2 linked regions of the Sus scrofa genome follow. The protein of the gene in region 2 purifies or fractionates together with the protein of the main gene of each other region. This does not show direct contact. Links are inferred from orthologs where the notes say so. Each region holds a gene or a part of one and is shown on either strand. Other genes may lie near its edges.

Evidence for each region.
Region 1: the proteins of COPS9 (region 2) and CUL4B purify together in Homo sapiens (affinity purification with mass spectrometry; 3 studies listed by BioGRID and IntAct, with this or other methods). This does not show direct contact. The link is inferred for Sus scrofa from reciprocal best matches to the Homo sapiens genes COPS9 and CUL4B.

Annotation. Positions count from the first base shown.
Region 1 is NC_010461.5:98,689,011-98,692,821, forward strand, and holds part of CUL4B (cullin-4B), read right to left. Parts: intron 2,447-3,811; coding exon 2,373-2,446; intron 1,570-2,372; coding exon 1,407-1,569; intron 1,260-1,406; coding exon 1,170-1,259; intron 875-1,169; coding exon 792-874; intron 1-791.
Region 2 is NC_010457.5:139,261,153-139,265,629, forward strand, and holds the start of COPS9 (COP9 signalosome complex subunit 9), read right to left. Parts: upstream 3,101-4,477; 5' UTR 3,009-3,100; coding exon 2,946-3,008; intron 945-2,945; coding exon 872-944; intron 1-871.

The sequences.
Region 1 (3,811 bases), on a different chromosome or scaffold from region 2:
AAAAATTAGAATTATTGACATTTGACTTTGCTAAAAATTTACAGCCTCTCCTGGGGGGGGGAATCATATTTCAGAATTTTGTAACAGCATGAAATAAATACTTTCACAGTCTTGCTGTGGCTTTCCCCCAAATTTCTCTGGTTTTATTAGGAAAGTAAAGAATTTATCTATGCTGCTTACAGGTTCTCCTGGGTTGGTAATATTTAGGAAAGCACAGAAATACTTTCTTCTTCTATGAACACCCACTGAATTTGGGTTGTTTTGTTTTGTTTTGTTTGGGCAATGCCCGTGGCATGTGGAAGTTCCCAGGCCAGGAATCGAACCCATGCCACAGCAGCAACCGAGGCGCTGCAGTAACAACACCATATCCTTAACCTGCTCAGCTACAAGGAAACTCCTAAAATGTTTGTTTCGGTTGGCTGAACCCAGGTATAGGGGGAAGTTCCAGGGCCAGGGATTGAACCAGAGCTGCAGCAGTAAAAACGCCACTGTAGTTAACCTATAGGCCACCAGGGAAGTCCTGCACCCACTGAATTTTAATTGACCCAACATTTCAAAGATCACATCAGGTTGTAACTTTTTAAAATTACTGTCCTAAATACATACACATAACCAATAATCAAATCATTGATTAAATCTAATTAACTAGGGACAATAACTGTATTATGAAAACATTGTTAAAGTCTCAAGTCACACCTGAAAATAGTTACTAACATGTTGAATCACCCAAAGAGCCTTAGGTGATTCAACAACATAGGTTAAGGCTATTAGGCTGAGCATGTAATACTTACTGGGTGGTCTGATCTAAGTAAGTAATAAGTCTGTCTGCTTCTTCTTCTAGACGTTTGTTAACATGATGAAGATATTCAGGAACCTACAAAGATAGTTTTTTTATATTATTTTTTTCCTCCCCACAAATCATTCAGAAAATGTTAAGTCCAAAAGATCCTGGGAGCAGCCCTGTCAAATGTGACAGGGGTGAATCATATGTAAAATTATGGGTAGAGTTTATGATCCAGAATTCTGGCCTTTAAGAAGAAAGAAAAGAAGGGAGCAACTGAGAGAAAAGCGGCATAATGTTGGGAAGATAAATGCAAAGGGCAGCTTATATTCTATAAAATAGGGTCTTGTGAGACATAGTGGATTTCTTAATCGTGATTTTTAAATACCTCTCTTTCCTGCATTAATTTTTGGCCTTCAGCTGCATAGAGTCGGTTAGTTTCTTCCAAAAATCGTTGTTCAAAAGAATCCTGATAAATCTGGGAGAGGGTAACAAAATAAAGTTCAATTATTCAATAAATGTTATTATTAAATGTTCTCTATGTGAATAGTACTATGAATTTGGTTTTTAAACATCAAGCTAAGGATACCAATCAGCTCTGTAGTAAGTGAAGTCATTAACTTACTTGCAAATCAGAGAGCATGCTTAAAAGGCTTCGGAGTAAACTTCTATCAATTGCTTCACCATTCCTTTCCCTCTCAATCAAAAGAAGAATGCCATCAATTGTCTTATTCTGGACTTTCTGATCACTAATAATATGAGCTCTGAATAACTCCAGTCCCATGTCCCTAAAACAAACAAACAAAAAAACATATATAAATTAATTAATTGACAACAATACCACTTCTGGAGAGCTTGCTTAATTTCTCACCACATGTTAATTAGGGTTCCAGGCTTTGAAGCAGCAACTGTAAAAGGATAAAACCCACACATTTAATTGTAAATAACATTATTAAATTAAGGCATACAGGAAACTCATTTTGTCTTTAATGAAAACTGAAGCTAAACTCCCATGTTCCTCCATAACTAAATTTTGCTGTATTATTTTCTTTAGTGGATTTCTTCCTTGGTCAAAAAAAGAGAAAATTAGTCCAAAGCTATAAAATGGTCTTCATTGTACTGGTAATGAAGGCTTAATTGCTCATTTGTCATCTGGCTTCAGTACTCAAAAAACAGTAAACTGTCTGATAATTGCCAAAGGTAAATGCCAGGCATGTGGTGGGGGGAAGAGCTCATTAAACTCTTCTATTTTGGTGTATACAGGGAATTTTCCACGATAATGTTAAAAGATAATGAGTGACTCTTGATCAGCAACAAAATCATGCACAGACAGACCAGAGCAAACTTTAATCCCCTGGATAACAAAAAAACCCATCATAAATTATTACCTGGTGAGGGAATGTTAGCCCTCCAATATCACCAGAAGCAAGACATAATTAAAAAGATAAAACTGCTATAAATCCAAGTCTAGAAGCCAAATGTGAATTTTTAGGAGAATATACACAGCATCATTTCTTCTCTTCTGTTAGTGTAATTAAGATTTGATTATGATTTGAAAAAAATCTTTTCAATTTTTTTCTGGCATCCTTACCAAATGGAGGGTAGCATTGAATTCTGAAGAACGTAAGTCCTATCCAGAAACAAAAAAATGCTTCTGATCATTATCTGCCAAGGAAAAAAATAAACAATTCTTTTATGTCATGCAGTTGAAATATTGGCTCTTGATAAAATAAGATTGCAGGGTTTACTTGTATATATACTAGACTACTAGGGTCAAACATACAGATAAACACATCTACCTGAGAATAAACCCATACCATTTTTATTAAACTATTCTATTGTCTTAATTCTTGATATACTTTACAGAAAAAAAGATACCTAATCAATTAATCAATTTTGGGGGGAAGGCGAACCTGCAGCATATGAAAGTGCTGGGCTATGGATCGAATCAGAGGTACAGCTGCCGGCCTATGCCGTCAAGCCACAATGGGAATTCAAAAAAAGACACTTAAAATGGTCTATGACTTCTCTGCAATTTGAGAAGTAAATGAAAATAAAAACAGAATCAAGAGGGCACACATACAATTTTTCCTCAGCAACAGTCCTCAGAGTGAAAGTACCTAAATTGTACACTTGGGATTTTGGATGGTGGGATGGATTTTAAGGTTTTTAATCTGAAGGATATCAGGTTTAAAATTATACCAAATTAAGGAAATATGAAGAGACTGTGATCTGAATAAGCTAAAATAAAGAATCATCTGGCACCTTCACAGGTAATCAAATAGCAGGGGAGACACCATCAAGACTGACAGACAGGAGTTCCTGCTGTGGTGCAGTGGGTTATGAATTCAACTGCAGAGGCCCAGGTAGCTGCAGAGGTGTGGGTTAGATCCCTGGCTGGGTACAGTGGGTTAAAGGAGCCAGTGTTGCCGCAGCTGTGGCACAGGTCACATCTGTGGCTCAGATTCAATCCCTGACTGGGTAATTTCCACATGCCACGGATGCAGCCATAAAATTAAAAAGACTGAAAGACAAAATGTAACACTTATTTAATGAGATAAATATTTTCTGGTTAAGTGTTAAGAAAATAAAAATGAATCTAAGGTACAAGTCATTCTAAAATATGGGTCTGGAGTTCCTGTCACGGCTCAGCAGGCTAAGAACCTTACTAGTATCCATGAGGATGCAGGTTCAGTCCCTGGCCTTGCTCATTGGGTTAAGGGTCCAGCATTGCCGTGAGCTATGCTGTAGGATGCAGATGTGGCTCAGATCCCCTGTTGCTGTGGCTGTGGTGTAGGCCTGGCAGCTGCAGTTCTGATTTGATGCCTAGCCTAGGAACTTTCACATGCCCCAGGTGTGGCCCTGAAAAGTGAAAAAATAAATAAATAAATAAATAAAATAGTGGTTTACCTATTACTTGAGGTTTGAAAATGGGAAACTCAACCAAAATTAGTTCCCAGTTCAGAATAAGACTAGATATTGAGACAGTCCTCCATTGCAAAGCTTTTAAAATAAACTGCATTTGAAGAA
Region 2 (4,477 bases):
GAGGGCCCTGTCCCCCCTCGACTCCTGTCCCAGCAACACCCGCCCCCTCGCTGCGCTCCACATGTGGCCCCACAGCTCCCACGAGACCTGCCCTCCAATGTGCCCGTGGCAACAGGGCGCCCACCTCTGTCGGGGCCACCGGGCCCGGCTCTGGCAACATCCCCTGTGCTGCGAACAGCGAGTACAGAGCGCAGGCGTCACCTGCCGTTAGAACCCCGCAGCCTGGGGACAGGGGGCCCTCAAAACCTACCTGTTCAAGGAGCAAAAGCCTCAGGAGGAGCCCGTCCAGAGGCCACTGGCTCTCTCGCAGGGAGCAGCTCCCCGCACCCCTGGGACGAGGTGGCCTGAGGCCTGCCGCCCATGCCCCTCAAAGGTGCATGAAGATCTCCTACGAAGCCAGCCCTTCACTGTTTATTTGGTACAACTGCACTGTGTTCTGGGAACTGGCCTTGGGGGCATGGCTGCGGGTCCAGAGGCGAGCAGGAAAGAGCAGGAGGGTGGCTGTCCCTGCCACAGGCAGCCAAGGGGACGCGACGAACGGCAAATGGGGAGAGGAAAGCAGACCGGCCATCGGGGAGCGGGGGCAGGCGAGGCGGCCAGACGGAAAGACCCTGCGAGCATCTCCGGCGTCTGAACGCGGGCGCACGGCTCAGACCCGGCTCAGACCCGACAGACGGAACCTGAGAGCAGGAGCTTCTCCTCTTGACACACAGCTGCCCGCTTGATAGGGACTGTGCCGAGTTCCCAGAAGGGCACGGGACCTGGGCCTGCCGGGCCTGTGGCCCAAGCCGCTCACGTCCCAAAACTGCTCCTCTGCACCCCTTGCAGAGGAAGCACGGGCTGAAACTGGCCGCCCAACCCGCATCCTTACCATTAAAAAAGTCTGCATGAACTGCCTTTTCATTGGCTGCCAAGTCCATCAGGAGCCCGGTGCTGCCTCCTGCCTGCGGACGGACAGAAGGGTTATGTCAGCGGCGTCCCCAAGAGGATGAGTGACAGTGGCTCACAGGCCCCCACTCCCCGGCAGAAAGTGTCCAGGTCAGAGACGAAGTGTAGTCGCAGGGGAAGGATTTAGTCCCACGGCTTCAGGAGCCGGCTGCAGTCAGCTGCTCTCCTAGGCCCTTGCTGGGTCCCCCCACAGCCCCCGGGGGCTTCCACGGACCTGCACCGCCAACCTTCTCCCATACGCAGTACTTGCAGGGGGTGGGGGAGACGGCACTTGCAGGAATTACTGTGAAGGGCTGCTCAGTCTTCGTTCCTAGGTTCCCCCCTCCCCTTTTCAATAAACACCTGCCACTGCCCCCAGTGGCACCACTTCTGTGTAAACCTCGAGAAGAGGGCTCAGCGCCCTACTGGCCGTCGTCACAGAGGCCCGGCTGTGCGCAAAACTGAGCCCGGCGATCTCTCTGCTCTGAGACGCTCCCTGCCGTGAGACGTGAACCACTTCCCTCGCGAAACCAACCTGCGGACCGGGGCTCTGGCAGCCATAAAACAATGCCATGGCCAGACGCGGGCGATCTGATGAGCGGTTTGAGGCACTTAACGTCACTCCGTGACGGGTGACCAGAGTCCTTTGGTGGCGGCACCCTGGACGCCCGGCCCACAGGTTCCTGCTGCTACCATGACCCCCAGCATCCCCAAGGCTGTGGGCTCCGCCTCTTCCTGGCTGGAATAGCTGAGCACCTCTGGGTCCCCTCTCACAGCTGCTCTGAGCAACCAGAACTCTCAGGGCCTCCCTCCCCCGCCCACCCCACAGCAAGCCATGCAGACCCCGCCAGGGACGGCCGGTGGAGCTTGTCCCCACTCCCACCTGAGGGGTCGCCTTCATTCGTCTGCATGGTGCCACTCTCCCACCCCCAAGCTCTCCTGAGCGACCGTCCTGCAAACCCGTCAGAGATCATCACGCCCCACTGCAAGGCCCCGGGTGACACCCCCCACCCCAGCCCCGGGGCCTAGAGCAGGGACTGTAACACAGGACTGAGAAGCAGGGGGTTAGTGGAAGTGCCTGAGTGGAGAGGAGACCCACCCGTCCCAGCGCAGCCACCCCTGCCCCCTTCCCCAGCTCCATCCCGTTCTCTCTCCAGGCACCTGAGGAGCCTCCGTGTTAAATCACAGGGCCTTCCTTCCCTTAGACCCCTTCAGGGTGGCTCCTTCCAGGCCTTCTCCCCCCAGCACGGCTTCAGGATGCGGCTGCAGTCAGCTGCTCTCCTAAGCCCTTGCTGGGTCACCCCAAAGCCCCCGGGGGCTTCCATCGACCTGCACCGCCAACCTTCTCCCATGCTTCGTACTTGCAGGCCGCCTTTCTCTGTCCCACCATGAGCTCCAGGGGAACACAGGCTGGGTCTGTCCCCCACCCCCTGAGCTTTGAGAGAGAAATCCAGGCCCTGACGCCGAGCAGCTGGCCGGACACGCCGAGCTCACTGAGCACCAACACCGGACAGGAACGCCCCGTGACCACAGGATGGGGTAAACGAAAACGCAGGACCACTTCACAACGCCGGTCACAGCGGGAGGAGAGCGGGCACCGCAGGGGGCACGTACCTGCCAAACGGCCTCTCCTCCGCCTCCCAGGCTGGCGGCCGCTTCTCGCCCAAGTGCCGCGCGCCAGCCGGGCTCTGGTCTCCCCTCCTTCCAGACGCCCCACTAGGGGCTCACTCCCACCGCCCGACTGCAGGCAACTCCGAGCGGGCCCACCTCCACCTCCACCGCCTGACAGGAGCTCAACCCGGTCCCCAGGGTCTCCCCCGGGCGTCCCTGCGGGTCCTCACCGCAACCCCGGCCGCAGACATCCCGGCCCCAATTCTCCCTTAGAGGAAGGAACCGCGGGAGCGCGAGCGGGCCGCGCAGGCCGCCTCCTCCTCTCGCCCCGGACCCGGCGCGCCCGAGAACAGGCCCTGGCTTCGCCGCCCGCCCGCCCGCCCGCCGCCCGGCGCCGCCCGCCTCACCTCGTCCAGGTCCACGTAGGGACCTGCGCCCTCGGGAAACATCTCGTCCACCGCCGGCTTCATCTCCTCCTGCAGCCCCGGGCGTTCCCGATCCACTTCCGGCCCGCCGACGGCCTCTTCCGGTGCACGCCTTGCGTGGCAAGTCTAGACGCAGGAGGGCCGCAGACTCTATGGTTTCCTCTCGCCCTCTGGTCAGTCTAGACTCCGGAGGACCTTCAACTCTATGGTTCGCTCCTCCGTTCTTCTTTACCCGCAGGGCTGGCCCTGGTCCAGGCCGGTGGGGAAAGGGTTTCGTCTGCCTGTCAGCACACGAGGGAAGCTGCTCAATGACTTTACGGTGGCCCGTGGCCACAGTTTAGCCCTAAGGGCCTGGCACAGACAGGTGCCCAAGAAGTACCTATTAAAGGAGGTGAGTGGCTAACGGGGTGAAAAGGCAACTCGCAGAATGGGAGAAAATATTGTAAACCATATGTCTGATAAGGAGTTAATATTCCAGAATGTATAGAGACTTCCTAAAGTGCAACAACGAAAAAAACAGGGAGTCTGATTGAAAAATAGACTTGAATAGACGTTTCTCAGAGCAGATGCATAAATGGCCAGGAAACCCATGAAAAGATGCTCCACATTACTGATCCTTAAAGGAATGCAAACCAAACAGCACCGAGACACCGCCCACACCATCAGGATGGCCGCTGTCAAAACCCCAGAAAACAGCAAACGCTGGCAAGGAGGGGGGGTGATTGGAAGCCCTGTGCACTGTTGGCTGGACTGTAAGATGGTACAATGTGGAGGTTCCTCAAAAATTAAGCATGGATTTACTTATAGATTATAGTAAATAAACTTACAGAAGCATAGATGCCACTTCTGGGTATGTATCCAAATTGAAACCAGGGTCTCCAGGAGATATCTGTAGACCCATGCTCACAGCAGCGTTCTTCACGATGGCCAAAATGTGGAAGCAGCTGGGGAAGGTGTCCATCAGCGTCCGAATGGTTGAGCAAAATGTGGTCCATCCATACTAGGGAATGTTATTCAGCCTTTAAAAGGAAGGGAATTCTGCCACATGCTGCAATGTGGATGAACCCTGCAGCCATTACGCTTAGGGAAATCACCAAAAGACAGATACTGTACAGTTCCACCTGCAGGAGATACCAGAGGAACCAAATTCATAGGCAGAAAGTAGAATGGGGCTGCAGGAGGGGAGTGAGTGTGTAATGGGGAGAGTTTCAGGTGGGGAGGATGAAGTCGTCCGGAGTTGATTGTGCCGCCATGGTAATGATGGGTACGCTCACTGCCCCTCAAAAACAGTCAGGAGAGTGTGTTTTCGGTTATATGTATTGTATTATATGTTTTCTAAGAAGAATGTGAATGTGCGAGAATGGAGGGCGGCAGGGGTAGGGAACACTTTTAGACTTAGGTAGGCTTGGGGGCTGGGCTGCCAGATAAGTGGGGGTGGGGGAGGGAAGGATGGCTCCCGGGAGCGAGGAAATGCTGAGCAGGGATTGGGGCCAGGGTGGGGTGGACAGCACAGG